4 linked regions of the Notamacropus eugenii genome follow. The protein of the gene in region 3 interacts with the protein of the main gene of each other region in a pairwise test. Links are inferred from orthologs where the notes say so. Each region holds a gene or a part of one and is shown on either strand. Other genes may lie near its edges.

The links.
Region 1: the proteins of TRIM69 (region 3) and ASNS interact in binary tests that used the Homo sapiens proteins (3 or more experiments, as listed by UniProt). The two-hybrid records come from large-scale screens. The link is inferred for Notamacropus eugenii from reciprocal best matches to the Homo sapiens genes TRIM69 and ASNS.
Region 2: the proteins of TRIM69 (region 3) and FAM110A interact in binary tests that used the Homo sapiens proteins (3 or more experiments, as listed by UniProt). The two-hybrid records come from large-scale screens. The link is inferred for Notamacropus eugenii from reciprocal best matches to the Homo sapiens genes TRIM69 and FAM110A.
Region 4: the proteins of TRIM69 (region 3) and NEK8 interact in binary tests that used the Homo sapiens proteins (3 or more experiments, as listed by UniProt). The two-hybrid records come from large-scale screens. The link is inferred for Notamacropus eugenii from reciprocal best matches to the Homo sapiens genes TRIM69 and NEK8.

Annotation. Positions count from the first base shown.
Region 1 is NC_092874.1:1,918,284-1,925,297, forward strand, and holds the start of ASNS (asparagine synthetase [glutamine-hydrolyzing]), read right to left. Parts: upstream 3,023-7,014; 5' UTR 2,783-3,022; coding exon 2,534-2,782; intron 1-2,533.
Region 2 is NC_092872.1:432,452,758-432,460,330, reverse strand, and holds the start of FAM110A (protein FAM110A), read right to left. Parts: upstream 3,005-7,573; 5' UTR 2,912-3,004; intron 1-2,911.
Region 3 is NC_092878.1:53,186,604-53,193,761, forward strand, and holds the start of TRIM69 (E3 ubiquitin-protein ligase TRIM69), read right to left. Parts: upstream 3,025-7,158; 5' UTR 1,793-3,024; coding exon 1,787-1,792; intron 1-1,786. Other genes in the region: B2M (beta-2-microglobulin), read right to left, coding at 6,868-6,884.
Region 4 is NC_092873.1:36,139,211-36,146,272, reverse strand, and holds the start of NEK8 (serine/threonine-protein kinase Nek8), read right to left. Parts: upstream 3,010-7,062; coding exon 2,675-3,009; exon of another isoform or gene 2,392-2,674; intron 2,177-2,391; coding exon 2,099-2,176; intron 2,014-2,098; exon of another isoform or gene 1,901-2,013; intron 1,236-1,900; coding exon 1,030-1,235; intron 718-1,029; coding exon 485-717; intron 1-484. UniProt on the Homo sapiens protein: Required for renal tubular integrity. May regulate local cytoskeletal structure in kidney tubule epithelial cells. May regulate ciliary biogenesis through targeting of proteins to the cilia.

The sequences.
Region 1 (7,014 bases), on a different chromosome or scaffold from region 3:
TTTGCCCTTGGTGTTGCGTTTTTCTCATGGTTTCTCCCATTCGTTTTAATTCTTCTATGCAACATGACTAATGTGAAAATGTGTTTAATAGGAATGTATGTGTAGAGCCCATATCAAATTGCATGCTGTCTTGGGAAGGGGGGAGGGAGGGGGAGAAAATGTGGAATTTATGGAAGTTGAAAACTGAAAACAAATTAGTAACTGTGGGGGGGAAAAGAAAGGAAAAGCTTGTTCCCTCCTCTCTTCCTGAGGGTCCTGGCACCAGCCCTCCAATGCCTCCCCTACAGCCCAGGCACAATCCACACCAGGCAGCTGAGCAAGGTGGGACCAGCCTTGGTGCCCTCCGGCGTCACCTCCCTTCCCAGCCTGGGAACAGTTATGTGTCCTAAGTCTAGGGAGGGCACCAACAAATCCGGCTCAGTCATTTCTAAACAGAGCATACTAGGGAAGGAAAAAAGAGAAGGGAGTGGACAAGCAGGGAGAAGGAAGGAGGGGGAGGGAGGGAAGAGACGGAAAGGGAAGGAGGGAGGGGAGAGGAGAAGGGAAGGAGAAAGAAAGGGAGAGGGAGGGAAGGGGCTGGAGAGGAAGGAGAGGGGGAGGAGAGAAAGGGGAGGGGAGAGGGAAAAGGAAGGAAGGAGAGAGGAGGAGAGGAGAGGGAAAGGGAAGGAGGAGGGAAGGTGAGGGAGAGAAAGGAGGGGGAGAAGAGAGGGGAAGTGAGGGAGAGAAAAGTGAGGGAGAAAGAGGGAAGGTAGAAGGAAGGAGGGGGAGAAGGGAGTGAGAAGGAAGGAGGAGGGAACAAGAGGGGAGGGGAGGGGAGAGAAAAGGCAGATGGGATGAGAGGAAGAAGGAAGGAAAGGGGAGATGGGAGGTGAGGGGTGGGAAGGAGATGGGAGGGAGAAGGAAGCAGGGGAACAGGAGGGGAGGGAGGAGGAGAGTGAGAAGGAAGGGGGGAGGTAGGGGAGGGCAAGAAGGGGCTGAGACAGGTTGTACCTAGCGGTCCAGCAGCGGAGAACAAAGAGGCAGGGAAACAGCCCTGGGGCTGCCCATTCACCCCAGAGAAGGGCTAAGTGAAGACCTGTGATTGGGCCTAGAAAGGGGCAGGGCGGGGCGTATGCCTCCAAGACTAAAGTGTAGGAGACGAAGACGAAAACCAGTTAGCCTCCGGGGCTGAGGGACCCCAAAAAACATCAAAGCAAATGCCCTGGGGGGTCAGTTCAGTCACCCCGCACAGTGGGCAGCTAGCCAAACTCAACTCCACTCAATAAACATTTACTAAGTGCCTAGGAAGAGAGAGGCTTTCAGAGACACAAAGAGGCAGAAAACAGTCCTTCCCATCAAGAAGTTCACAACCTGCTGGAGAAAGATCATGCAAACAACCAGGTACAAAGCAAGCCACAGACAGGATAAACGGGAAATAAGAGAAGGGAAGGAAGGCACTGGAATTAAGGGGGGTTGGGATTTTAGTTGGGACTTAAAGGAAACCAGGGAGGTCAGGAGTCCTCGGAAAGAAGGAGAGTGAAGGCATGGAGGACAGCCAGGGAGAATGTCGAGAGCCCAGAGATGGAGGATCTTGTTCATGAAACGGCCAGGTGGCCTGGGCCACTGGATCCAAGAGGACGTGTCAGGGAGTGAGGTGTGAGAAGGTTAGAAAGAGAAGGGAGAGACAGATGACGAAGGACTGAGTGCCAGGGAAGCATATGGTATTTTTTCCCGGAGGTAGAGGAAAGAAACCACTGGGGTTTGTGGAACAGAGGGGTGACATAGTCAGGCTCATGTTTTAGGAAAATTAGTGTCTGAATTGGGAAAGGCTTGAAACAGGAAGACACCGTCCCCCGCCGCCCCCGCCCCCCGCAAGCAGCAGCAGCTAAAGCAATAGTCCAGGCAGCGGGGATGGCGGAGGGATGGACAGGGTTAGAGCAAAGAAAAAGCGGCATTTTTGAAATCCTGGAGAGAGTAAGGGAGGTGAAATTGACCACAGAAGTAGCAGTAGTTAAATCGACCAGACCCAGCAAGGAGGTGAAATCGACCAGAGACGTCTGGGAGGTGAAATCGACCAGAGAGACGTCTGGGAGGTGAAATCGACCAGGGACGTCTGGGTAGTGAAATCCACCGGGGACTTCTGGGAGGTGAAATCGACCAGGGACGTCTGGGTGGTGAAATCGACCAGAGAGACGTCTGGGAGGTGAAATCGACCAGAGAGACGTCTGGGAGGTGAAATCGACCAGAGAGACGTCTGGGAGGTGAAATCGACCAGGGACGTCTGGGAGGTGAAATCGACTAGACTGCAAGGAGGTGAAATCCACCGGGGACGTCTGGGAGGTGAAAGCGCCCACAGAAGGAGGCAAAGGAGGTGAAACGCACAGGTCTTGGCACCATATTGTATACTTGGGTGCCCAGAGTGACTCCTGGTTGGGAGCCCGGAGGTGCCAAAGGCAGAAATGAAGCCGTCCTCGGGGGCCCCGAGCCCCCTCCAAGCTGGATGGAATGCGCCCCAGCCCCGCACCCCGCGCCCGAGCTGCGCCCGGCTCCTCACCTGCCGGTGGTTGTAGATCTCGCCGTTGTAGCACAGCCACAGGGAGGGGAACTTCTGCAGGCGCAGGGGCTGCATGCCGGACACCGGGTCCACCACGGCCAGCCGGTGGAAGCCGAAGCAGCAGTTGGTGAAGCCGCGCACGTTCTCGAAGCGGAAGGCGTCGGGGCCCCGGTGGGCGATCCTCATGGCGCTCAGGCACTGCGCTGGCAGGCCCTCGTCGCTGCCGAACAGCGCCCAGATGCCGCACATGGCGGGGCCTCAGTTTACCCCGCGGACGGGGCTCCTCCAGACCGCGCCAGGGATGTGAGCCGCAGCCGGGACGGCGAGGAGCGGACGGAGGGGAGGGGCGGGGCGGGGCGGGGCCGCCCCTCCTTCGCTCTCAGGCCCCCACCCCCTTCTCCACCCTGTTCTCCCCTCCCCACTGCTGCCCAGATGCGTCTGATGCAACGCCGGGGCCCACGTGGAGGAGACTGCGAGAGAGCGGGCTTCCGGCAAGGGGAGATGACGTCAGCGCCCTCCCAGGAGGCGCTCCGGCGTGGCCGGAAGTGAGGGTAGGCCGTCGAGAGGCCACTTCCGCCATGAGCCTAGGGTCCGAGGCAAAGTGTCTCTGGTAGGTCTCCAGTGGAATGCCACAGGGCTCAGTACTGAGCTCCGGGCAGTGTGCCACGTTGGCCTCGGCTTGGCCGAGGAGGGCTGACCCAGCTCGTAACCCTTGGGTGGAATAATCACCTTAATAATAGAAGGGGCGGGGCTATCCCTTCGAGAAGAGCTCTGGGGGTCCTAGTGGACCACAAGCACAGAGGTGTTCACGGACCTGGGCGGAGCGAGGAGGACCCAGAGCCCTAGAGTCACTTTGGGTTGCAGTAGATGTTTAAGGAGAGGCCCCCAGTGGACCCCACCTGACCTGGAGGACCGAGGATCATCCTGGGAGGGTCTGATGCCTGAAGAGAAGAAGGCTGGGGGCGGGGAAGAAAACGGGGAAGAGGCCACCAGCAGCCCCAGATCTGGGCTTGTTACCGGGAGATCGCTGAGAGCTGTCCAGCTGCTGAAACGGGAGCTGCCCAGCGGTGGCAGAGGTGGAAGCAGCTGCATACACCTCCGAGTCCTGCTCCTCCGCCTCGCCCTCCCTGGGGGTCTTGAGGCAGAGGCTGGACACCCCCACCCCCTCCCCCTCCCCCCCTCCCCCTCCCCCTCCTCCCTGAGGGTCTAGAGGCAGAGGCTGGACACACCCACCCCCCCCTCCCCCTCCTCCCTGGGGGTCTTGAGGAAGACCCTCCCCCACCTTCAGTGAGGGAGAACCTTCTTTGCATGTAGATTGGTTCTGGCAGCTGCCTGACCCCTCCAGTCCCAGATTCTGGAACTCCACCTCTGTAGCTTCTGGACCCTCCCCCAGGGACAGCTGCCTGTTGCTGGGCATATCCTGGAGGGCAAGGACTGCTGCTTCTTCTGTCCCGGTACCCATCTTCCATCCTAGCGATGCCCCTGACTCATAGTAGGTGTTTAATAGATGGTTTTGCACCGGATGGAAGTCACTCAGCTCCCTGGAGGAGGAGGCCACAGCGATTGCTGAGTGTTTCCAGTTCCTGATGCATAGTTACAGCTGACCACACCCCTCTCTTGACAGCACCATGATCTATCTCCATGCTAGAGCTGAGCAAACAGGCCCCTTTTAAATGACACCCGCCAAACGTCCAGGCTGAGATTCGAAGCCAGGCCCCTCGGCCTCTAAGCCCAGGAGCACTCTATTTCTGCCTCGAGGAGAAGGTCCTCAGCCTTCCACCGTCAGGTGGATCAGGGTGCCTTCATTCAAGTACTGACAAGGTTTGTGTTGAGGAGAGAGCCCCGTGGCCCTCTGCTAGAGACTTCCTTCCAAGCGGGGTACATCACTAGGCCCAGCCAAAGGAGACTCATGGAAGTGTTTCCACCCTCTCTTAGCGTGCAGACCCCAAGCTCCCTGTTCATTCGGGCCCATCCCTTTACGTGTTTCTCTTCCACCTTTACAATCCCCTGGGCCTGGTCTCCTGTCTCCAAATGCTTTGGAACCTGTTTTCACTTCTCACTTGAATGTCAGCCCAGGCCTGGGCTTCCTGGCCTCTGTCACAAAGTCTAAGCTGGAGCAGTCCCTTCTCCCTGGGCTGCCCGTCCACCCCCATTACAAAGTCTAAACCAGGGGTCTCTTCTCCCCAGAGTCCCCTCATTTTGACCCTAGAAAGCAGTTTCCCCTGTTTGTTGGAAAATGGCTTTGGCAGCCTGGTAAAGGCTGGCTCGAGAAAAGAATAAGCTAGTGTGGCTTCTGACAGCTCAGGTTGGGCCAGACTAACCGGTTATGGGCTGAGGAAATGTTCCCTCCCCCAGGAGCTGGCCTCAGACAAATCATCTTCGAATGACTGTGATTGTGACTGTGGAAGAGGTGGGGGCTCAAGGGGCAGCAAAGGGGAGGGGCCCTCAGAGCCCACAGAACAGGCATTAATGCCCCAAGGCCACTTTGGGAGGAGGGTACCAAGGCAGTGCCCCAGTGCTGCCATTCTGGATGTCCTCATCACGTGGAGCAGCCCCAAGCAAACAGGAACAATTGCCCCTTCCTCCTGGATAGGACTTTCCTTTGGGCAGCATCTCTCTGGGTCTCTAGGCAGCTGGGTGGGGTAGTAGGTAGGGCACTGGACCTGGAGTCAGGAAGACGAGTTCAAATCTGCCCTCAGACATTTATTAGCCATGTAGCCCTAGGTAGGTCACTGTCTTCTTCGGTTTCCTCAAATGTAAAATGGGATGACAATAACATCACATACCTTCCAGGGCTATTGAGAGGATCCAATGAAATACTATTTGGAAAGTGCTTAGCACAGTACCATGCATAGTGAGGATTTAGCAGATGCTTCTTCCTTCTGGCCAACACTTTCCCTGTGCTTCTTCCTTAGAAGCAGGCAGGATCCTTAGGGGAGCTGGGTCCTGACACCCAAGCCTCTTTTCTCATGACACCATTGACAAGCCAGTTGTGCCCAGGTCCAGATTCACATGACTTGATCTTTCCTCTGCTTTGGGAGTGAATCACAGAATTTGCATATAGCCAGGCTCTGGACTTAATTTCTTAGCATACATGTACACAAGCAGGTCAAGTCAATGGAGCTCTGATGCCTTCATCTCCCCTCAGGGTTTTAGGACTATTGCTGAGGAGTTAGGGTGATTCTGTTGTTATGGACTTGAGACCCTTTTAGGTATGTTCTCCTCAATATCAGTTGCCAAAGATTGGTGCCCAATTTCATTTAAAAAATTATTTTATTTTCACAATAACTTGTAAAAACAATACCATTTTCAAAAAAAAATTTGGAGTCCTAAATTCTCTTCCTCTCTCCCCTCTCCCCTCATTGAGAAGGCAAGCAATCTGATATAGTATGGACACGTGCAATCAGGCAAAAATATTTCTGTAATAGTCATGTCGTGAAAGAAAACACAGATCAACAAACGAACAAGAAAAGAGTCTGCTTCAATCTGCTTTCAGACTCCATCAGTTCTCTCTCTGGAGGTGGAGAGCATTTTGCATCCTCTGTCCCTTCAGAATTGTCTTAGACCTTGCATAGCTGAGAGGAGCTAAGTCTCTCCTAGCTGATCATTGTTACAATGTTGCTGTTACTGTGTACAGTGTTCCCCTCGTTCTGCTCACTTCACTCTGCATCAGTTCGTGGAAATCCAGGTTTTTCGAAGAGCGTCCTGCTCATCATTTCTCATAGCACAGTGGTATTCCATCACAAGCATACGTCACAAGCCCAATTTCATTTAAACAAGTAACATCAACCAGTTTTCTCAGAGGGATTCTTGCTAGAAGAGATAACAGAAGGACAAACACTTCTCCCCAGACCTGGGCATACACTGTTCCCTGAGCCATTTTAAGCTCTGGCAAGAGTGGGCAGTTTCTCCAAAGTGTTTACCTTGCCAAGTTCACTTCTGAGTGCAAATAGCACATAGACAAGTCCCCATCTCAGCTCCTCCTGTGCTGGGTGGAGCAGGGCTCTCCTCAGGCCTGGGCTGCTACCTCACCCACACTGAACCTTGGAGAGATCCTAGCCTGGGCTGGATTCCCATACCTCTGGCACCTGCTACTCTAGCCTTTGAAAGCTCATCCACTTGGAGCCATTTCTGCAAAACTCCTTCTCTAAAAGCAAAAGCAAATTGCTACAAGAGAAAAGCGATGGCAGGCCCCTGGGCCCTTATCTCCCCAACTTTCGAAGCAGAGCGGGGGCAGTGGAGAGGCAACCCTGAGTTGTAACTTTGAAGAGCTGACTGAACCTTCCAGGAGCACCAAGATAAGAATCCCTGGCATTTCCATAGAACAAAGCTGAGTGAGGTCACTGGAACCTCACAACCAGCCCTTGAGGAGGCTCTGGCAGTATGATCACTCCCATTTTACAGAGGAGGAGACTGAGGTTCCAAGAGGTAACAGAGAGGTAGTTGAGACCTGAAAGGGACCTTAGAAATGATCTCGTCCC
Region 2 (7,573 bases), on a different chromosome or scaffold from region 3:
ACAAAGAATCTGAAACAACCACACCCTCCTTCTGGGTAGTCTCTTCTTCCTTGGCTTCTATGACAGTGCTCTACCCAATTCTGCTCTCATTTGTATTACTGCTTCTCAGTCACGTTTGTTAGAGCTCCTTTTCCTTTTGCCTGCTAAACATACATGTCCACTAGGAACCTAGTCTCTTCTTTGTTAATCTCATTAACTACTCTGAGTTCAATTATCTCTAAGCATTTTTGTCCCAATCCATACATTCAGCCTTCATCTCTGCCTTGTACTGAAGTTCTGTATTATCAACTTCCTGCTGGATATCACCACCTGGATATTCTAGACATCTAAAATTTAGCATGTCCAAAACACAACTTTCATCTTACTTGCAAAGATAAAATCATCTCCTTGGTTTTTAAAGCCCTGCATAACCTGGTCCCTATCTACTTTTCCAGTCTACTTACACCTTCCTCTGCCCTCCACACATTTGTAAGCCAGTGACACTGGTCTCTTTGCTATTTCTAACATAAGACATTCCATCACCCCAACTACAATCATTCTCACTAGCTGTCTGCCATGCCTGGAATTTTCTCCCTCTTCATCTCCCCTTCCTGGTTTACTTCAAATACAAGAAAAAAACCCACTTTCTGCAAAAAGCCTTTTTTAGGCCTCCTTAATCTTAATGTCTGCCCTCTAAGATTCTCCCCAGTTTATCCTGTTTATAAATTGTGTATATGGTTATTGACATGTTGTCTCCCCTGACGGACTGTGAGCTCTCTGAGAGCAGAGACTGTTTCCTACCTTTCTGGCACATTGCAGATGTTTTAATAAATGCTCATTTGACTTGACTAGTACTATCTATCCTTCCAATCACTCAAGTGCATAACTTTGTAGTCATTCTTGGCCCCTCTAACCTCCCCCAACTCATTTATCTAATCAGTTGCCAAGTCGTGCTGAAATCCTATCTCCATCCATCTCATAGATGTTCTCTTCTCTCTACTCACATTGCCTCTACCCTAGTTCTAACCCAAATGAACTCTCCCCTGAAAGGCTAGAATTTCCTCCTGCTAACTCCAGCCTCTTTCTTCTATAATTCATATCCCACAAAACTGCCAAATTGATATTATTAAGAAAAGGTCTATCCATATTAGCTCCATCCTCAAAAATCTTTAATTATTCCTCACTGCCTTCGGGATAAAATAAGAAATGCTTGGCCAGGTATGTAAAGCCATTTACATCGTGGTCCCCATCTTCCTTCCAAGTTTCATGTCATACCACTCTGTCACATGCTCTGTTCCAGCCAAACTGACCTGCTAGTTATCCCCATATATTCCCTTTCCCATTCAGTGGCTTTTTGAACATGCTTCACTCCAACAGAGAAGTAATGAACACCCTCCTCTCCTTTACCTGGCAGAAGCTGTACTTCCCTTCAAAGCACAGCTTTAGATGCTGCTTCACACATAAGTCTTTTCCTGATCCTCTCATCTATTAGCACTATCTCTTGAAATTACTTTGTAGACTTTGTATTTTACAGATCTGGTTACATGCTATATCCTCCCAGCAGAACTTAAAATTCCTTAAGTGCAGAGACTGATTCATTTTTATCTCTGTATCCTTAGTTCCTTAAGACATAGCCATGAAGTGAATGTTGAAAACTAAAAATATATATATATATATTTTAAAAATACATAGCCATAATAGTGCCTCGCATGTAATTACAAATAAAATGATGATAGCTAACATTTATGTAGCACTTAGTACATGCCAGACACTGTGGTAAACTATTTACACTTATCATCTCATTTGATCTTCACAATAAACCTGGAAGATAGGTACTATTATTATTTCCATTTTACAGATGAGGAAACTGAGGCAAAATGCAGTTTGGTGTTTTGATTTTGGGGTGCAAAAGAACTTGCCAAAGTTATTATAACTCAGAAGTGTATGAGGCCACATATGAACTCAAGTTTTCCTGAGTCCAGGGACAGCCCTCTATCCACTGTATCACCTAAGTACCCGCACATAAGAGATATTTCATAATTGTGCATTGACTTGAAGGCTGCCCAATCTATTCCCTTGCTGGGCAGCTGTAAATGTTAGGAAAAAGAGAGAAAGAGAAAAAGAGAGAAGGGAAGGAAGGAAGGAAGGAGGGAAGGAAGGAAGGAAGGAAGGAAGGAAGGAAGGAAGGAAGGGAGGAAGGGAGAGAGGGAGGGAGGAAGGAAGGAAGGGAGGGAGGGAGGGAGGGAGGGAGGAAGGAAAAGGGAAGGAAGGAAAGAAAGGAAGGAAGAGAATAAAGGAAAGAAGAAGGAATGAAGGAGGAGAGGAAGGAAGGAAGGAAGGGAGGGAGGGAGGGAGGAAGGAAAAGGGAAGGAAGCAAAGAAAGGAAGGAAGAGAATAAAGGAAAGAAGAAGGAATGAAGGAGGAGAGGAAGGAAGGAAGGAAGGAAGGAAGGAAGGAAGGAAGGAAGGAAGGAAGGAAGGAAGGAAGGGAGGGAGGGAGGAAGGAGGAGAGGAAGGAAGGAGGGAGGGCGGGCGCTGCAAGCACAAGGCTCCTCTCTCGGCACACGCAGATGACCTCCAAGAACCCCTTACAAATGGGAGGCGGGGTAAGAGAACATGCAGCCAGTCAAGGTCCCTCGTGCTTGTGGGAGCGCAGGCAAGCCCCCGGGTCAATGGGGGGGCGAGAATGGGGGGCTCTGCGGCCACACAAGGTAGGATCCCTCCACATCTCATGAACGCGACCCTATGATGTGAGGAGGTAAGAGATGCTTCGGCCCCACCCCCCACTTTTAGGGATGAAGGGAGAGGAAGGGAACCTGCCCATTGTCATCGACCAGGCGAGAAGCAGCGGAGCTGGGAGGCCAGCCAGGCCGCACCCCGCGATGCCAAGCGGGGCTCCCTCGAGTTCACTCGGACCAAGCCCCCACACTCACGTGCCACCCGCCGAGGGGCCCGCAGCGACGCCCTCAGGAGGTCCTCGGCGCTCCCGCGGCTCCCCAGCAAGCACACCGGAACTGCCCCGCCCCTCCTCCCCGCCCCGCCCCGGGATCCCAATGGAGACCGGCCGCTCCCAATGCCTCCAGGCCGCAGTCGAGGGGGAAATGTGGATCGTCTCCCCCCTCCTTCCGGGACGGCGGGGCCTACTCAATGTCGTTTTTCTCTCCTATGGCTAAACTCCAATTTGTCGGACTTTTTCTTCTGCTGGATCTCCCAAGTCTGTCAAGCCGAAAGACAAGAGAAAGGGTTATTTGGGATATAAGTTCCCCCCTACAGTGAGCGAAATGGTTCACCCCGGATGCCCCGATTGGTTCCTGGGTTCCCTTCGAACTCCGCGCTGCCTTGGTTGCTAGGTGACTTTTGGAGAGTCGGCTTTATGAATGAAGCTGGGTGCCCTCGCTCTGTGCCTCGCCTACCCCAGGTCGGTGTGTCCCCCGCCCTTGGGCTCGGAGCCCTCCGCGCTTGGCGTCCCCTTCCTTCTCCTCAGACCCACGGAAGGAGCCATTGTTAGCATCACCACCCTCGTGTATGTTGTTCAGTCGCGTCTGACGCCTCGTGACCCCGTTGGGGGGTTTGGCATTTCCTTCTCCGGCTCATTTTACAGAAGAGGAAACTGAGGCAGCCAGGGTTAGGGGACTTGCCCTGGGGTCACACAACTAGGTAATGTGTGAGGGAAGATGATCCTTCAGCCTCCGGCCCCACGTGTAGGGTTACCATTTACACAGCGCGTGTTCTGTTGTGCCAGGCGCTATGCCAAGCGCTCTACAGTGAGTGCCCTGGTCAGCTCTGGTACGCAAGGATCTGAGACAGCTCCAAAAGACTCGTGATGGAAAATGCTGTCACGTTTAGAGAAAGAACCAGGGAGTCTGAATGCAGATCCAAGCATGCTATTTTCTGGTTTTTTTCTTTCCTCATGGTTTTTCCCTTTTGTTCTGATTCTTCTTTCCCAACATGACTCGTGTGGAAATGTTTAATAGGATTGTTCATGTATAGCCTCTGTCACATTTTTTTCAGTCATGTAGTGGGTGTGGAGGGTAGGGAGGAAGGGAGAAAAAAAAATTGGAATTTAAAAGTAAATGTTGAAAACTACCTTTACATGTAATTGGAAAAAATAAAATATTATTGAGGAAAATAAAAAATTTTTAAACATTTTTATTTTATTTGATCCAACCCTGGGAGGTAGGTACTATTATTATGCCTATTTTCCAGCTGAGGAAACGCAGCTTATGTCTGAAGTTGGATTTGAACTCAGCTTGTACTATGTGTCTGTGATGGGATTTGAGTTAAGGACTTTCTGACTCCAGGCTCAGAATTCTATACACCAAACTGCTTAGCTGTCTAAATATCACCACCACTACTACTACCGTCACCATTTCAGTTCAATAAACATGCCCCTGCTATGTGACAGGCACAGTGCTAAGTGCTGGGGATGCAAAAAGACAGTGCCTGTCCTCAAGGAGCTTAGAGTCATTATTAATGGGGGAGACAAGATAGAAATATATGGAAAAAAACCTGTATCCAAGATAATTAAGAAATAATTAACAGAGAGAAAACACTGGAATTAAGAAGGGCTGGAGAAGGCTTCCAGTAGAAGGTGAGATTGGGACATGGGACATGAAGGAAGCTAGAGAGGTGAGTAGTTGGAGTGGAGGAAGGAGAATGGTCCAAGCATGAAGGACACAGCCAGAGCAAATGCCCAGAGCTGAGAGGTGGAATATCTGGTTCATGGAACATCTCAGAGGTAGTGTCGCTGGATCAAAAAATATGTGTCAAATAGTAAGGTCTAAGTACTGGAAAAGTAGGTATGGGGCTAAGTTATGAAAGGCTTTGAATGCTAAACAGAGCATTTTGTATTTGCTTCTATCTCATGTGGCCCTTGATTCTCAAAAAACATGCCTGTAGATCAAAAAAGGAGGGGAAAGTCCTGTATGTCCAAAAATATATATAGCAGCCCTTTTTATGGTGTCAAAGAACTAGAAGCTTAGGGGGTCACCATTAATTGGGCAATAGATAAACAAATTGTGGTATATGAATATGATGGAATACTCTTGTGCTGTAAGAAATAATGAAAGGGACTATTTCAGAGAAACCTGGGAAGAATTATGGAGATATCTAGGTGATATAGTGGATAGAATGCTAGGAGTATCTACAGTTAGGAAGTCTTCAAATTTGACTTCAAATTTGACATCAGGTGCTTACTAGCTATGTGACCCTGGGCAAGTCATTTAACTTCTCTTGCCTCAGTTTCCTCAACTGTAAAAGAAGGTTATTAATCACACATACCTCTCAGGGTTGTTGTGAGAATAAATCAGATAATATTTGTAAGGAGTTAGCACTGTGCCTGGCACAAAGCACCATATAAGTGTTAGCTGCTACTGTCATTATTATGTGAACTGATACAAAAATGAAGTGAGCACAACCAGGAGAAAATGTATGCAGCAACAATATTGTAAAAAAAAAAAAAATTTTTTTGAAAGGCATTATGATTGATTAAATAATTAGATGTGATTCCAGGGAGCCAATGATAAAACTTGCTACCCTTGCTCCTTGCTACCTCCCTCAAGATGTAGAATGAGAAACACATCTTTGGAAATGGCCAATGGAGGGATTTGCTTTGCTTCACTATATATATCTTACACAGGTTTTGTTTTTCTTTCTTTTTTTCCCCCAGGTAAGAGGGGGCCATCAGAGGGAGAAAAAAAAATGCTAGTTAACTAAAAATAAATAAATAAAACAATTCAAAAAAGAAAGCACAGAAGAGCCCTGGTTTTATCAATCTGCATAGGGTCAAACAACAGAAAAAGCACAGGACCAGGAGTGGGGGTTCAAATCCTATCTTTGTTACTGACTAGCTGTGTCACTTATATGGGACAAATGTGAGAAAGTCAAGTCATTACCTTTCTTTGAGACTCAATTCCTCCTCTGTAAAATGGGGGTAATAGTAATACTTAATGAGACAATGTAAGTCAATGGCTTGGCAAAACCTTAAAAGTCCTAAATAAATAGCTTTTGTTATTATGATGTTCCAGGAATAGACTATTTTTTCTGTCCAAGAACCAGCCTAGTAAAATGTGAAAAGGTTGATTGATCCCCAGCAGGTTGGCCAAGGCTTGGTTAATGAACTCTTAAACTCTATGAACTTAATAAACTCTTAAACTTCAGTTTCCTCCACAACCCTGGCAACTTCTACCTCCCAATTACCTTTTCAGCCTCATTTCACCCTTTAGTTCACTCTCCAATTCAAATAAACTGAGCCATGAGAGCTGGATTCCCAAACTTATCACGTCTTCTCCCTCTGTGAATTCTCAGTGATCATCCGCACCCCAGCCTACCCCAACTCCTACCCTCCTCCTACCTCCAAATGCTTAGAACGTTCTTCCTCCTAATCTCGTATTTTAGAATCTTTATCTTTATTCAAGGCTCCACCCAGGTAGCCTTCTTTATGTAGCATTTTAGGCTGAGCTAAAAAATTTTGCCCTCCTCAAAACCTTCCTAGAGCAGCTGTCTTAATCTCACCTTTGTTCCCATCACTGCCCACCTCGTATTATGTGTATATGTGTGCATGTTATATCTCTCCAGTAATATCAATTTTGATTTTATATTCCTAGTAACAAATGCTCCTTCCATTGGATTTGTATTATGCCTCTTCTCTAGAATATCTCAGATGTTTTTAATCTCATATACTTATCAAGTTCTGTTTTGTACTATAGTCATGTATATGTCTTTTTCCCCAATAGACTGTAAGCCCTGGAAAGTCCGGAAACTAGGCCTCAAACATCTATCTCTCACTGAAGTAGTCAGTACAGGGCACTGAATATGGTAAGTGCTCTGGGTTTGTAGAGTACTTCCTCTACCCCATCTCCATCCCCTACCCCAAAGATCTTCTTCCCAGAACCACAGAAAGATTCTGGTAATAAGTGAGAGAATACACCATGGCTCCACTGACATAGAATCCTTTACCAGCAAGTCTGACAGTGCTTTGATAAACCATTTACCATCACTATGCCTCAGTTTCCCTGTCAGCAGAATAGGATAACATCCTCTTTCCTACCAGGAGTGGCATACACCCTTAATTAATGCTTGTGACAATTAAGTGCCAGGAGATGAAAGGTTGTAGAAAAGAATGTAGTGTTACTTCTATCCCTAGTCTTATGACTTCAAAGCATTCCTCCTAACAACATGCCCAGGAACTGGACAAAAAGGGCCAGTCTTACCTTGCAGATTCAGAAAGGCTCAAGGGCAAGTGACACCCCCTGGGCTGCAGAATGTGGAAGGGACAGAAAGAACCCTGGGGTTCTTGAACACTGAGTATTTTCAGAGTTCTAAAACACTGTGCATTCTTACTTTATAGAATACAACTCCAGAGTAGGTTGGTGACACCATTCATTAATCAATCACTGGGTATCTCAAAAGATTGGATTAGACCCAATTTCTACCCTCAAAGTGCTCAAGTTCTCAAACAGACTAGTGGAATAAGGAGCATACTATAATTAACCAGATACAAATAAGAAAGAGAGGAGAGAGAAGGGTAATTATGCTGTTTATCTAGCAGAAATGGAAAAATAATCAACATTCTACACTATTGACATTTTGGTGAC
Region 3 (7,158 bases):
TATTTTGTTGTTGTTCAGTTGTTTTTTCATCATTTCCAACTCTGTGATCCCATTTGGGGTTTTCTCAGCAAAAATAATATGGTTTGCCATTTCCTTCTCCAGCTCATTTTACAGATGAGGAAACTGAGGTTAAGTGACTTGTCCGGGGTCACATAGCTACTGAGTGTCTTAGACCACATTTGAACTCAGGTCCTCCTGACTCCAAGCCCAGTCCTCTATCTACTATGCCACCCAGTTAGCCTCAAAGCTATACAAAAGAATAGGATGTTGATATTAAAACAATGGAACTTTTTTTCAGGAAGAATCTTGGAGTTATTAAAGTAGCTTTGTAATCTCCTGAAGACAATCCAACCAGGTCTCCTTCCGTTTAATTCTGGTCCATTTGTACTGTCTGTCCCAGACAGACATACTGACAGACTAGTGCTATAGGTTGTCCATTCAACTAATTTCATAATCTGGGCAATAGAAATTTTTCATCTACTTGGTCTTTCTTTAGATAGACTAAACTCTTGAGATAGTTAGTGACATGTGACACAAAAGTACATATCCCATTCCCCTCCCCCCCCAAAAAAAGATTTGTTGTGGGATTTTTTCTCATTATAGCTTAAAAGTGTTGAGAAATTTTACATCTCTAGGAAGGAACTAAGTTAACCATCTAATCAATTCTGGCCTAAGGTGAGTTAGAAGCCAATGTCAACTATTTCCCATCTATGAATACCAGTCTTTCTGTGGAAAGGAATGTAAGCTTAAAGATAGGGACTGTTTTTCACTTTATAACCCCTATTTCTTTCACATAATAAACACAAAATAATGCTTGTTGAATTGAATTAATGTCTCCAGGGAAGAAGCACCATCTCTGCATGTATAGTGTGACCAAGACTACTATTCTTACCTCTGTTTCTCCTTCTATGATATTCTCCTTGCCTGACATTCACTCCTATACCACTTTTACCTTTCTTATGTTTCTCCTTTACCTTAACATTCTTTTCCACCTCCTTTTTGCCAATTCAAATCTCATACTTTAAGGCCTAACTTGAGGATCACTTCTTTCAAGAAATCTCAAATTAACCCCACCTTGAAGTGACTGTATTTTGAATCCCTACAGTATTTATCTTCAGTTTCTACCACAGTATGGGGACTTGTGTGATTTGGAATTATTTTCAAATTAATTATTTTCAAAAGATTGCATATTCCTTAGCCACAACGATTGTCATTTCCTCTGAATTATACAATAGTACTTATGTGGGGCCACATTCTGGGAAATATTTAATAAATAACTGCTATATTTAGTTAAAGCTGGTTTTTCTGCTTTCCTCACTTTGACACTGAATTGAAAGATCCCTATGAGTGTCATGTGAGTACTTATTACCTCTGCCTACACAGATTGCACCCCTTCACTGTTGAATTTCTTGCCTGATAAATTCATCCCCTGGTGGCCAACCTCATAGTGATGATCTCTTAACTCTTAAGATAGGTTGGTTCTTGGAGGTTTGACACACTACTTCCTCAAAGCCTTTCCAGCTTGCCAAGACCCAGGTTTACATCCCACTAATGTAACCTTTGAAAAGTCAGGGTCACCTTTATAGTAGGGTGAAATATCAAAGCTGAATTTTCATGTACTTCTTCAAATCTTCCTAAATGTCCAGTTCAGTAAGTAGTTCAAAATGTTATAAATTAAATCTTCCCAAATTCCTTATAACTTCATATACCAAGATGTCTACCCACAATATTTGGAAAGATAACTGAATTAGGAAAATGTAATCACCCATCCCAAAGGGGCCCTCACCTCCATGAAGGTTTTTTCATTGAGTTGCCCTCTACTTGAAGAAGCATGGGCATTTATATCTTTGACTCAGATAGGGCAGCAAAACAACAGGCTGGAGACTTGGTGGTTCACTAGAGAATGACAATTGGAAAGACTCAGTAGCTATAGGGCCAAAGAAGAATAAGGATGGGAGGGGGTGGGGATCTTGCAAGTTCCGTGACAGTTAGTCAGTTGATGTGACCATAGCTTGCTCCCAGAGAAGGAGGTACTGGTTGAAGTTTGTTTTTCTCCACACTGCTCATTTTTACCTAAGGTGGGACATGATATTATTGTTAACAGATCCCATGCCCCTGAATCTCTCCTGTTCTATGGAAGAAGAAATTAGTTGAGAGAACTGGCTGATCCCCATTTTCCTCAAAATCATAATATGAAAGGCATTAGAGAGACCAGCTAAATAGTTAACAAAGTTGCTGTATTTCAACATAGCACCCCATTTTTCTCCTTCACAGGTTCTTTAGTCCAGAGAAGACACCAGAGGGAGAAACAGTGTATCTCAGGGCTCAAGGAAATTAGGATAGAGAAGTCCCAATTCACCTAACATTGTGACTTTATTCAGCCAGTTAGAGAATGGAAGGCTGTGGTTATGAGGGATTTGATGTTGGATTATACTGCCTACCAAGGAAACTCAATTTTAGTTTACCTAAGTAAACAAACCAAGTGTGTCTGCTAAATATTTATCAAAACTTAAACTCCTGTTAGTTTTGTTCAGTGTTAGTGTCTTCACGTTACTCTTTTTGGCACTGGAGAAAAGGGAAGTCTATACTTGTGATTTCATTAGTGTAGGGTATTCCCTGCATTGAAACCCTCTCCACCGATGTAGATCAGCAGTTATTTTAAAACTTTTAAAAGTCTTCTAGCATTGCCTCAAGTCTGAGAGGGGAAGTGAGTTATTCAGTCCCACACCTGTGTCAGGCAGGTCTTAACCAAGTCTTCCGATTCCCAGGCCAATGCTCTTAATCTACTATACTACACTGCTGGTCTTGAATCTCGATTTTACAAATGAAGGTAGATTTTGTTTTTCATCCAAGAATATTTCCTGATGTAATAATCTTTAAACAGTGTGGTTTGGGGTTGGTTTGTTGTTTGAGGAAGTGTATTTCTTACATATGTTTCTGTTGGCTTCTTACTTGATGCTTTTGTTGGCATCTAACCATTCTTTGTAAGCTTTGAAAGTGTGAATAAAGGCCACATAAAAATCTTTTTTTCTTGAAATATGTGACTTCATTGTTTAACATGATTACACATGTATAAGCTATGTCAGATTGCTTACCATCTCAGGGAAGAGGGAGAGAGAAAAAATTGGAACTCAATCTTGTAAAAAATGAAGGTTGAAAAACTATCTTTACATGTAAAAATTGAAAAAAAATAAAATATTATTTAAAAAAGAAATCTGTGATATCATCAGTACAGGGAACTCCCAGTTGAGGAAACTGCTCCGAGGCAATTCGAATCAGCAATTGTTTTAAAACATAATCTTAGAGTGCCTGAGGCAGTTACAGGTTAAAGTTACAGTTACAGTTAAAGTGATTTGTTCAGGTTCAAGTATAGCCCCAGAGCACCGTCACTACAGCTCTAATTGACCATACCTACAACTTCTATCCCCACAGGGGCTTGTGGTGAGAATCAAATGAGATAAAGTCTTTTATAAAGCACTATTTAAACCTGAAGCCACTATACAATGTCAAGATACTGATCGAATGATTTGATACTAAAAAAAAAAAAAAATCTCTTGGGCTAAAGCCAAAAGCTTCTAACCATTTCCTAAAGACATCTTCCTGTTCCTGTGTGTTCTCTCACCGCTTGGATTTGGCTTTTCTATTTTGGGCAGGGAAAAGAATTGTCATCAAATTTACATTCTAGGAAATACCCAACTTCTGACCAGTGCATAAATGCACTGAGAGACTCACTGATGTGAAAGAGAACAGGAAACTGAGGTCTGCATCTGCTGCTCAGGAGAAAGCATTTTAAGTCCATTCTCCTGTGAGGAGCAGTTAAGGACATCAGTGGCTTACCTTGCCCTTGAGTCTATGGTTTGCATGTAGGATTGGACCACTAAGACCTCTCAAACTACAGTTGTTCAATCATTTTTTTTCAGTCCTAACCGACTCTCTGTGACCCCATTTGGGGTTTTCTTAGCAAAGATACTGGAGTGGTTGGTTTGCCATTTCCTTCTCCAACTGATTTTACAGATGAGGCAACTGTGGCAAACAAGATTCAATGACTTGCCCAGGGTCACATAGCTAATAAGTGTCTGAGGCCAGATTTGAATTCAGGAAGATGAGTCTTCCTAACTCCAGGTGTTCTACCCTCTGCACCCACCTAGTTGCCCCAAACTACAGTACTGTATTATAATCCCATTGTAAAGCTGCCCATCATTTTGATTTAAGTGAGAAACTTACACACCCAGTTCAGTTGTTTTATTCAATAGAACATGCCCATCAACAGCAAAATTTAGGTAAGCATATTTTGGGGCTTTCCTTTTTAAATTTAGATTTAATAATACAAAAATTACTGCCAATATGCTATTTCTTACTGACTTTTTGATAGAGGAAAGGTTCAGGACTCCCAGAAGGATGTTCACATACTGAATATTCTGGTCATTTCAGACCTCAGATCCTTACTAAATGCTTGTTAGGTTATTGATTGACTGGGATCTAGCAGTTACACTAGGAGCGAAGGCTGTGCTCTATTATTGGTTAAAAAGCGCCTAGTGATACTGATAACATTATATTCAAATTATCGTATAAAATTCCAAACATAGAAGCAGTCAAGAGTTTGAGATTCTGAGCATCAGTGAGTTTATCAGCCAGTTTTAGATGTTTATAGAATGTAACGTAGCTAATTAATCTGCACGAAGAAGTAACAATAATTCAGGACTTACAAAGGGAACTATTCCTCATCTCTCAAAGCTGTGCATTCCATAGTGTCTAAATACCTACATATTCATTAATACTTGCATGGAAGGTAAACAAAGTGAAAAGTCAAAGGAAAGAAGACTTTGCAATTACACACCTACTCAAATTAAATTTAGCTAAATTAAAACCAAATTCCAAATTTCATGAAAATACATTTTAGCATGTTTCCATTTCAGGCCAGACTTCTTGAAGCCTAAGGAAAAAGAAAAAAATCAATTATTCTATCAAATAAGCACTTATTAAACACCTACTATGTGCTGGGCCCTTTGCTAAGTACTAGGGATCCAACTGAATCACAACTGTCTACTTGTGAGGAGCTTATACTCTAATAGAACTGGATAAGCATATCTACATGCAAACATATATATTTCTATTCACTATATTTCTGCTACATATACATATATGTACATATGTACATCATAATAGCACTTCCTTTTTTTTATTTACCCATTATGATTTAATTTCTACAATACTTCATTAAAGGATGGAGTTCAATGATTTCTACTCAAAAGTCAGGACACAATCAAGTATAATCAGAGTTGGTCTGACTTCTCTGCACTCAGAATCATACGAAGTCTTTTGCTTTAGAGAAATGAACAAAAAAAATTAACCAGAAAGTGCTAGAAAACTGACAGAAAGACAACCATCCATGAAAATTATTGATATTAATGTGTCATGAAAAATGACTGATCCTGTGTAAAAGTTAAATGAGCAGGATTTTTTTTACAGACAATTTTTCTTATAAACAATAAAATATAACATTTTTCAGATTGAAAGGACCTCTACTGACAATGTGTGTGTGTGTGTGTGTGTGTATGCATATATGTATATGTAACACAAACATAAAGGGAATAAAATAAAATAAGTAATTAAATACAAGGTAGGTTGGAAGGGACAATACTAACAGGTTGGAAGGGACAATACTAACAGATGAGGGATCAAGAAAGTCTTCATGGAGAATAAGAGTTTGTAACCTTTTTTACATCATGAACCCCTTTAGCAGTTTAATAAAGTCTACTGGCCCCTTCTCAGAATAAGGTTTTTAAATGGATAAAATAAAACACATAAGATTTCAAAGGAAACTGAAATAAAGATGTATCTTTATTTCCTACCCAAGTTCGAAGACGCTTATGAAATCTATTCCCTTTTTAGAGAAGACAATGATTGAGCTGCATCTTGAAGAGGGTTATCCTCAATGAGGTAAGGAAAGAGTGCTTTCCAGGCACAAAGACCAAGAAGTGGGAGATGGAGGAAGGGACAGAAAAGAAGACCAGTTTAGCTAGTCCAAAGAGCATGCCACAGGGAATAAGGTACAGTGAGGCTGAGGTTTTAAGAGTTTTAAAACAGTCCTAAAAACTGAATAGAGATGTTTCTCTTGCATCCTAGAATCAACAGGAAGTTAGCAGTGTCGAGCAGGCAAGTTCTGCCCGGTCGTAACTCTAGAGTTGTTCAGTCTCAGCTTCTACTTCAAATTAGTTACCATCTGCAAAAGATCCAGCTCTTTGGAGCCATAGATAGCATTTAATAATAATGAGGATAATTAGCAATTAGCATCTGTAAAATCTTTTACAAATATTTTCTCATTTAGTCCTCAACCCGGAAAGGCTGGTACAGTTACTATCTCAACCTACAGATGAGGAAACTGAGGCAGATAAAGGTGAAGTGATTTGCCCAGGGTCACATAGCTAATAAGACAGGATTTGAGCCCAGGTCTTCTGACTCCAGGTCCAGCATAGTATCCACTGTGCCACTTAGCTGCCTCACATAAAGTCACTATCAGGATACTGCATTTGATGACAGGATATCGTTCGATTCTAACTAGCCTAGGATCCTAATGTGAACTGTAAGTTTAACTGGCAAATGGTATCTTCCATCTCTGTGCCTTTGTACTGGCTGAATCACATGCTTGGCATGCATTCCTTCCTTTCACTTCACAGAGGTCCTCTCTTCCTTTAAAATTCAACTCAACCACCATCTTCTTCATAATGGATTTTTAATCTGTGGTCTGTGGATAGATTTTAAGGGAGTCTGTGAACTTGTACAGAAAAAAAGATACTGAAATGAGAGGAAAAAAATACAAAAACCTCCAGATATCCAAAGTCAACAACTGACCCTTCATTAGGCGTGTTAGTTGTTTTCTGCATCTGTAAAAGAGATGAGAGAAAAAATTCATTATGCTTTAATTTGAAGAAATTAAAGATGAACATCATGGGCAGTACTGAGGGAACTCTATTACTCCAGTCTGGAGGTAGCTCAGAGAGGATGCAGTCATGGCTATCCACTTGGGGTGGGGGTGGAGGATGGGGGAAATAATTCAGAGGTAGGCTTTCTGTAAGATTCCCATAAATCAGACTCAAAAATTCATATTATACATGGGAATATCAAAGATCTGAGAGAGACACAGACCACCTCTCTGAC
Region 4 (7,062 bases), on a different chromosome or scaffold from region 3:
TTAACAAGGATTCAGCTGAAAGAGCTTGGGACCAGTGTGACCCCAGCTCGGCCCCTCATCCTGCAGCCTGGGCCAAGTAACTTCCCTCTCTCAGTCTCAGTAAGATGGGATATTGAATTAGAAGATCTCAAAGGTCCCCTTTGGCTTTCAAGCTATAATCCCACTCTCCTATGAACATCATAGACCTGGAAGTCTCTAACGAGGAAGAGATAGACCCAGTGGCTTGGAAAAAGCCCCCTCCTCCCATTTCTCCATCTTCCCTCTGTCTGGTCACAGTATGGATGTCCACAGGGGCTGAAGATGGGACCTGAGAGCTGGCAGACCCCAGAGACCACCAAGTCCCACCAGTCTCCTCATTTTAGAGAAGAGGAAACGAAAGCTATACATTCAGTTACAGAACAGAGCCAAGACTAAGAACCCAGGGGAAGGGTAGGCCCTGAGCCCTGTCCTGGAGCCCCGGCCTGCTGCCCCCAGGCCCACTTACAGTGTAGGCCTTGCTCTTGCTGCTCAGAATCTTGGAGATGCCAAAGTCACCAATCTTAACAATCATCCGATGTTTGTCCAGGAGAATGTTCTGGGTCTTGAGGTCTCGGTGGAGGATAAGGTGGGTGTGCACATGGTGCAGGGCCAGCAGGATCTGAACAAAGAAGTGTAGGATGGTCTCCTCGTCCAGGAGGGAGTTACAACGCTTCTGGATGTACTCGGCCAACGTGCCCCCTGTGGGCAGAGAAGGGCATGAGGCCATCCCCTGGTGCGCCTGCATCCTAGAGCCCCTGAATGGCACACAGCCTCACCTTCTCCCTGGGCCAGGGAGAAGTCACAGAATGTCCCTGCTAGGAGGAGGGACCTTAGGGACCTTAGTGACTGACCCTTCCCCTGACAAAGGAGGAAACCGAGGCCTCAAAGGGAAAGGATTTTCCCAACACCACCAAAGCAAGGACAGAAGCAGAGCTCGGCCTCCCATCTGGGGCTCTTTCCAAGCCCGGGCAGGGCACCCCCAAAAGAGCCCAACGTGGGCAGGGCCCCAACCTGGGGCATACTCCATGGCGATCATGAGAGCCTTATCCTCCAAGAAGTTCTCGTAGTACTCGATCACGTTGGGGTGGTTCAGCAGCTTGAGCACCTGGCACTCATTCTGGGCAGCCAGCCGCTCGTCCTTGGTCATCTGCTCCACCGGGATCTGCTTGATGATCACCAGTTTCTGGTCGGCCTTCCGAAGGCACAGGTGCACAATCCTGAAAAGCCCAGGGGTACAGGGCTTGGCATACAGTAGATGCTTAATGAAGGCTGACTGACTGATTAAAAGGAAGACTTAGAGGCAGGGTGCCAGGAGAGCAGGAGACGAAGGAGCATCTACAGCAGGGGTGGGGGGAACCAGCTGCTTCGAGGCCCCATGTGGCCCTCTAGGTCCTCAAATGTGGCCTTTTGACTGAGTCCAAGTTTTGCAGAACAAATCCTTTAATGAAGAAGACTTGTTCTATGAAGTCTGGTTCCAAAGGGCTGCACTTAAGGACCTAGAAAGCCACACGAGGCCTCGAGGTCGCACCCACTCGTACTCTTGTCCTCATCTAGAACCACTCATCCCATTTTACAGATAAGGAAACTGAGGCTTCCCCCCCCAAAAAAAGTTAGGGTGACATCAAAACTGAGAGCAGGGTCATCTAGACCACCCAATCCATTTAAGGGCCCCAGAGACTTAGTGACGACTAGTGATCACATAGCAAGTTAGTGCCAGAGGTGGGGGTGGAACCCAAGCCCTTGAGTCCACTCCAGGTGCCATAGCCCAGGTGCCAAAGGGGAAGGGTAGCTGGAGCTGGGAATGGGGCTGTGAGAAAGGCGTGGCCAGAATGAGGGCGTGGACCAAAGAGGTCTATTTGTCGGGGGCGGGGCTCCAGGGCCCGCCCGGTTGTGGGTGGGAACCAGGGGGCGGAAGTGGGGGCGGGACTTCCGAGAGTTGGAGAGGAGCCCATGGGGGCCAGGCTGGCGCTGCCAGGCCCGGTGGATCCGAGCTGGGTGTGTTTGTTCTTTCCTCCTCGATTGTGTCCTACCGCCCTCGCTCTCTCCCCCTCACCCGCCCACGGCCCGTGCCCTGCCTCACCCGAAGGCGCCTCTCCCCACCACCCGGATCCGCTCGTACTTCTCCATGGCATGGCAGCGCTTCCGGGAGCCGCTACGGCTGCCGCGGGGGGGAAAAAAGACTCTTAACCACGCATGCGCCGACTCCTCCGCCGGTCCGCGTGCGCCCCGCTCCCGGCTGGGGAAGGGCGCTGCTCCTGGCCGGGGGCCGCCCCCATCCCGAATCGCCTTCACTCCCTCCCTTCTCCTCTACACCCGCCCCTCCCCCCCAGGCACTTGGAGGTGATATTGGCTGAACTGATCCTCCCCTTTTAGGTCGAGAAACTGAGACCCAGAGAGCTGGAGTGAGCTGACAAGTGTTGGAGCAGAGGCTCTCCGCGCAGCCTGGCAGGCTCCCTGCCACGCATGCCTGGCATCGCCTGCGGAGGCTCCCCGTGCAGTCCGGGATCACACCTGGCCCCCTTGCCCCCTTTCCAGCCCTGGAGTGGAGCTGCGCATTCGCCGGCCCTGCTCTCCCCGTCTGGGGGTCCTCCCCTCCCCCGGGTCTTGGGGTCCTCCCGCATCTCCCCCTCCTTTCCAGTGTCAGCCAGAGTCCCACCTTCTGCCTTTGAAAAGCCTTTCCCAGTCAGTCCTCCTTGGACGCTGTTCTCCCCTTGTTGATGCCGGTGTTTGCGCATCCTCTCCTCCCTTAGAATATAAGCTGCTTGAGGTCAACGACTCTTCCTTTGTTTTATCCTCAGTCCTTAGCACAGAACCTGGCACATAGGAAGCCATTAAGAAATGCTTGCCAAGTGTCTGTTCTTTCATTTCCCCCACCCAGGATCCCTCCCTTCCAACGCTCTCCCAGCTCAGAAACCCCCACTCCCTTCTCCACCTTCTCCCCATCCTGGTGTAGTGAAACCTCCAGCCCTTAGCGGCCGTGTTACCACGCATTACCTCTTTTTCTCATAAATGTGAATTCTAAGGACCAGTACCTTTTAGTTCAATGGGAGATTAATAAGCAGCAAACTTTAAAACACACACAAATATACTGTTTGTTAAGTTGTTTTCAATCTTGCCTGACTTCATGACGTCATTTGGAGTTTTCTTGGCAAAGATACTGGAGTGGTTTGCAATTTTCTTCTCTAGGTCATTTTACAGATGAGAAAACTGAGGCAAACAGGGTGAAATGACTTGCCCAAGGTCACTTAGTGTCTGAGGCCGGATTTAAACTCAGGAAGCTGAGTCTTCCTGACTCCAGGCCTGGTGCTCTATCCACTGCCCCACCTAGCTTCCCTTTATATATACATGCATGTCAATTATTATTCTATCCCAGGCACAGTTGTAGAAACTGGACTGTGGTTTCCTGATTACTCCCTCTAGAGTCTTAAAGGAAGCCAGAGAGGTGGAGATGAGGAGGGAGAACATTCCAGCCATGAAGTACAGCCAGAAAAAATGCCCATAGGGTCATTGTAGAGAAGAGTAGGTGGAGGAGGGGAGGAGGTGTAAAGAAGACTGAACTGGAGAGGGGATAACGTTGAATTCCAAACGCAGCATTCTGTATTTGATCCTGGAGGCAACTGGTAGATGGGAAAGTTTCTTGGGGTGGGGGGGACATAGTCTGACCAGTGCTTTAGAAAAATCACTTTAGTGAATGAGGAATGGTTGGAGTGGGGAGAGACTTGAGACCTGCAGACCCACCAACAGATGTACAATGATCAGGGTCTGCACTACAGTGGCAGCAGTGACAGAAGAGAAATCGAGGAGTGTTTGGGAGATGGTACAAAGGTGGAATCAACAGACCTTGGCACCATCTTGGATATGGAGGGGAGAGAATGAAGAGTCCAGGATGACTGCTAAGTTGAGAGCCCAAGGGACTAAGAGGATGGTGTTGCCCTCTGGTTGGTTGTTGTCCTTTGTTCTTGAAGAGGACCAAAATGACAGCACCATGATAAAGTAAAGTTTCAATGTGTTGGACTGTGACTGATCAGACTAACATGAGCTCACAATGCTCTCCCACAGGTTGGACATAGATAGTCCATATGAATATTTGGGGTAGATACTCCAAATTTGCGTATCCTACGTTTACTTTGTGCTGTCTCAATTCTGCTTTGCTCCTAGGGCACAGTACCCTTTCTGATGTGGGCACCCCATCCTGAGTGGTCCTGGGCCTCCCATGTTGCACAGTCAAATCCAAAGTTCTTGAGAATGTCCTTGTATCGCTTCTTCTGACCAAAATGAGATCACCTGCCCCAGGTGAGTTCTCCATAAAATAGTCTTTTTGGCAAGCATACATCTTGCATTTGAACAACATGGTCAGCCCATTGGAGTTGTGCTCTCTGAAGCATAGTTTGAATACTTGGCAGAATCAGCTGGAGCAAGTACTTCAGTGTCTGGTACCTTATCCTGCCAGGTGATCCTCAGAATCTTCCTAAGACAGTTCAAATGGAAGAGATTCAGTTTCCTGGCATGGCGCTGGTAGATTGTCCGTGTTTCACAGGCATACAACAATGAGGTCAGCACAATAACTCTGTAGACCTTCAGTTTGGTAGTCAGTCTAATACTTCTTCTCTCCCAAACTTTTCTTCAGAGCCTCCCAAACACTGAGCTAGCTCTGGCAATGTGTGTGTCAACCTCATAGTCAATATGTACATCCCTGGAAAGTACACTACCAAGGTAAGGGAACTCATCCACAGCATTCAAAACTTCTCCATTTGTTGTAGCATTTTTCCACGTATGGATGGTATGTGGTGGTAGCTGATGGAGCACCTGTTTTTGGCCTAATTTTGTTGCCTTTTACAGTAATGGGGAAGGTAGAGAGGGAAGGATTTGGGGAAAAGATAAACACTGAGTTTAAAATGTCTACTGGACATCCAGTCTGAGATGTCTGAATGGCAGTTGGAGTTCAGCAGAGAAGTTGGGACACAGATTAGCACTGAGATGCTAACTGAATATATGGGAGCTGAGGAGATAACCAAGTGAAGTCTTATAAAGGCAGAAGAGAAGACAGAGCACTGTGGGATACTAAATTTAGAGAGTTTGACCTGGATGAGGATCCGGTGAAGGAGACTGAGAGTCAAGAGAGAAGGGTGTTTGGAAGACCTAGAGACAGAAGGTAGCAAGGAGGACAGGGTGATCATTGGTGTCAAAGGTCGCAGAGATGTCAAGGAGAATGAGGACTAGGAGAAGGCCACGGGATTTGGTAGTTGAGAGATCACTGGTGTCTTTGGTAAAATGGCAACTCTGGAAAGAGCAGTTTCAGTGGAATGAAAAGGTCCAAAGCTGGATGGTAAAGGGTTATGAAGAGAGTGAGAGGAAAGAAAGCAGAGATACCTATTGTAGATGGCCGTTTATTGCTAAGGAGTTAGAAGGATCAGGTGAGTGTTTTCGAAGAATGGAGGAGACATGGCCATGATTGTAGGCAGTAGGGAAAGAACTAGGAGATGGGGAGAGAATGAAAATAAGTGTTTGAGTGGGGATGACCAAGGCATAATCTGTAGGAGGAGACCAGATGGAACAGGATCCTGATTACACAGGTGAGATGGGTTAGTGAGACAACCTAGGAGTCATCCTGGGCTCCTCCCTCTTGCTTACCCCTCACATCCAAACTGTTGCCAAGACCTGCAGATTTCACTTTTGTAACATCTCTCGAATTTGCCCCCTTCTTTCCTCTGTCACTGCCCCTACTCAGGTACTGGCCCTCCTCCCCAAACACCTGGACTGCTGTAATATCCTGCTGGTGGGTCTGCCTGCCTCGAGTCTCTTCCCATTTCAATCCATCTTCCATAAAGCCTCCAAAGTGATTTTCCTAAAGCTCAGGTTGGATTATGTCACCCCACTCCCTACTCAAGAAACTCCAAGGCTCCCTGTCACTTCCAGGAGCAAAGCAGAATACTCTGACATTCAAAGCTCCCCACTTCCTTTCTAGTTTTCTCATTCTTCAATCCCCAGCAGCATTCCTCCATACTGATGTCCTGGCTGTTCCTCCATCTCTCAGCTCCAGGAATTTTCACTGGCTGTCCCCTAGGCCTGGAATGCTCTCCCTTCTCCGTTCCAACTACTGAACTCTCTGGCTTCCTCTAGTTCCCCACTAAAATCCTTCTTTTATTGGAAGCCCTCTGTTACTAATTTATTATTTTGTAGCTTGTTTTGTCTACATGTGTTTGCATGTTGTCTGCCCCATTAAATTGTAATCTCCTTGAGGCCAGGAACTGTCTTTTGCGTTTTTTTTTTAAATCTCCAGCCTTTAGTATTGTGTCTGACACATAGAAGATGCTTAATAAATGTTTATTGATTGATTGAGACAGAGGTGAAAGAAAAGATAACGGCAGAAGGCATCTGAGTGATATGAGGAAGAGAGAAGAGGGGCCTCATGGTGCACGCCCAACATTGTGTCTATAATGTGTGGGTCAAGGTTCTCAACTGGGCAGGGAGAGGGAGGGGAAGCCATGGGAGGTTTGAGGGAGGATGAAAAAGATGGGAAAAGTCATGTAGTCGGAGGGAAAGTGAGTTGATAAAGGAGGTGTAGAAAGATTCCCTAGAAGCAGTGAGGACTCATTTAAGGTCGTGTAGTGGACCCAGCTAGAACAGTTGAATGATTTCCTCTAATTAAATTTGCCTCAGGAATATAAGGCAGTGTCTGGGCACCAGTATTTCAGACATGTCATACTCACCTCTCTAACTTGGCCATAGGGGTAGGATTCAGGGATCTGCACAATGCCATTCTCTGAATCTCTGTCCTCTTTCTACCACTTGATAATCAAATCCATATTATGTGTCAAAGATTGTGCCAACTTACAGCGCTGTGGCCCCACTTGGAAACCGTGGGATCTGAGTTTTAGGCCGCCTTGCCCAAAACTTCCTTCCCTGGCCCAGTCTCCAGCTCTCTCATACCTCTCCTGTTCCTCTCTTGTCTCCATGTCCTTCTAGGGTGCCCTCTGGAACCCAGTTCTATTATATTTTATTGCTACTATTGATGTATTTTGTTTCAAATTACTTTGATTTCCA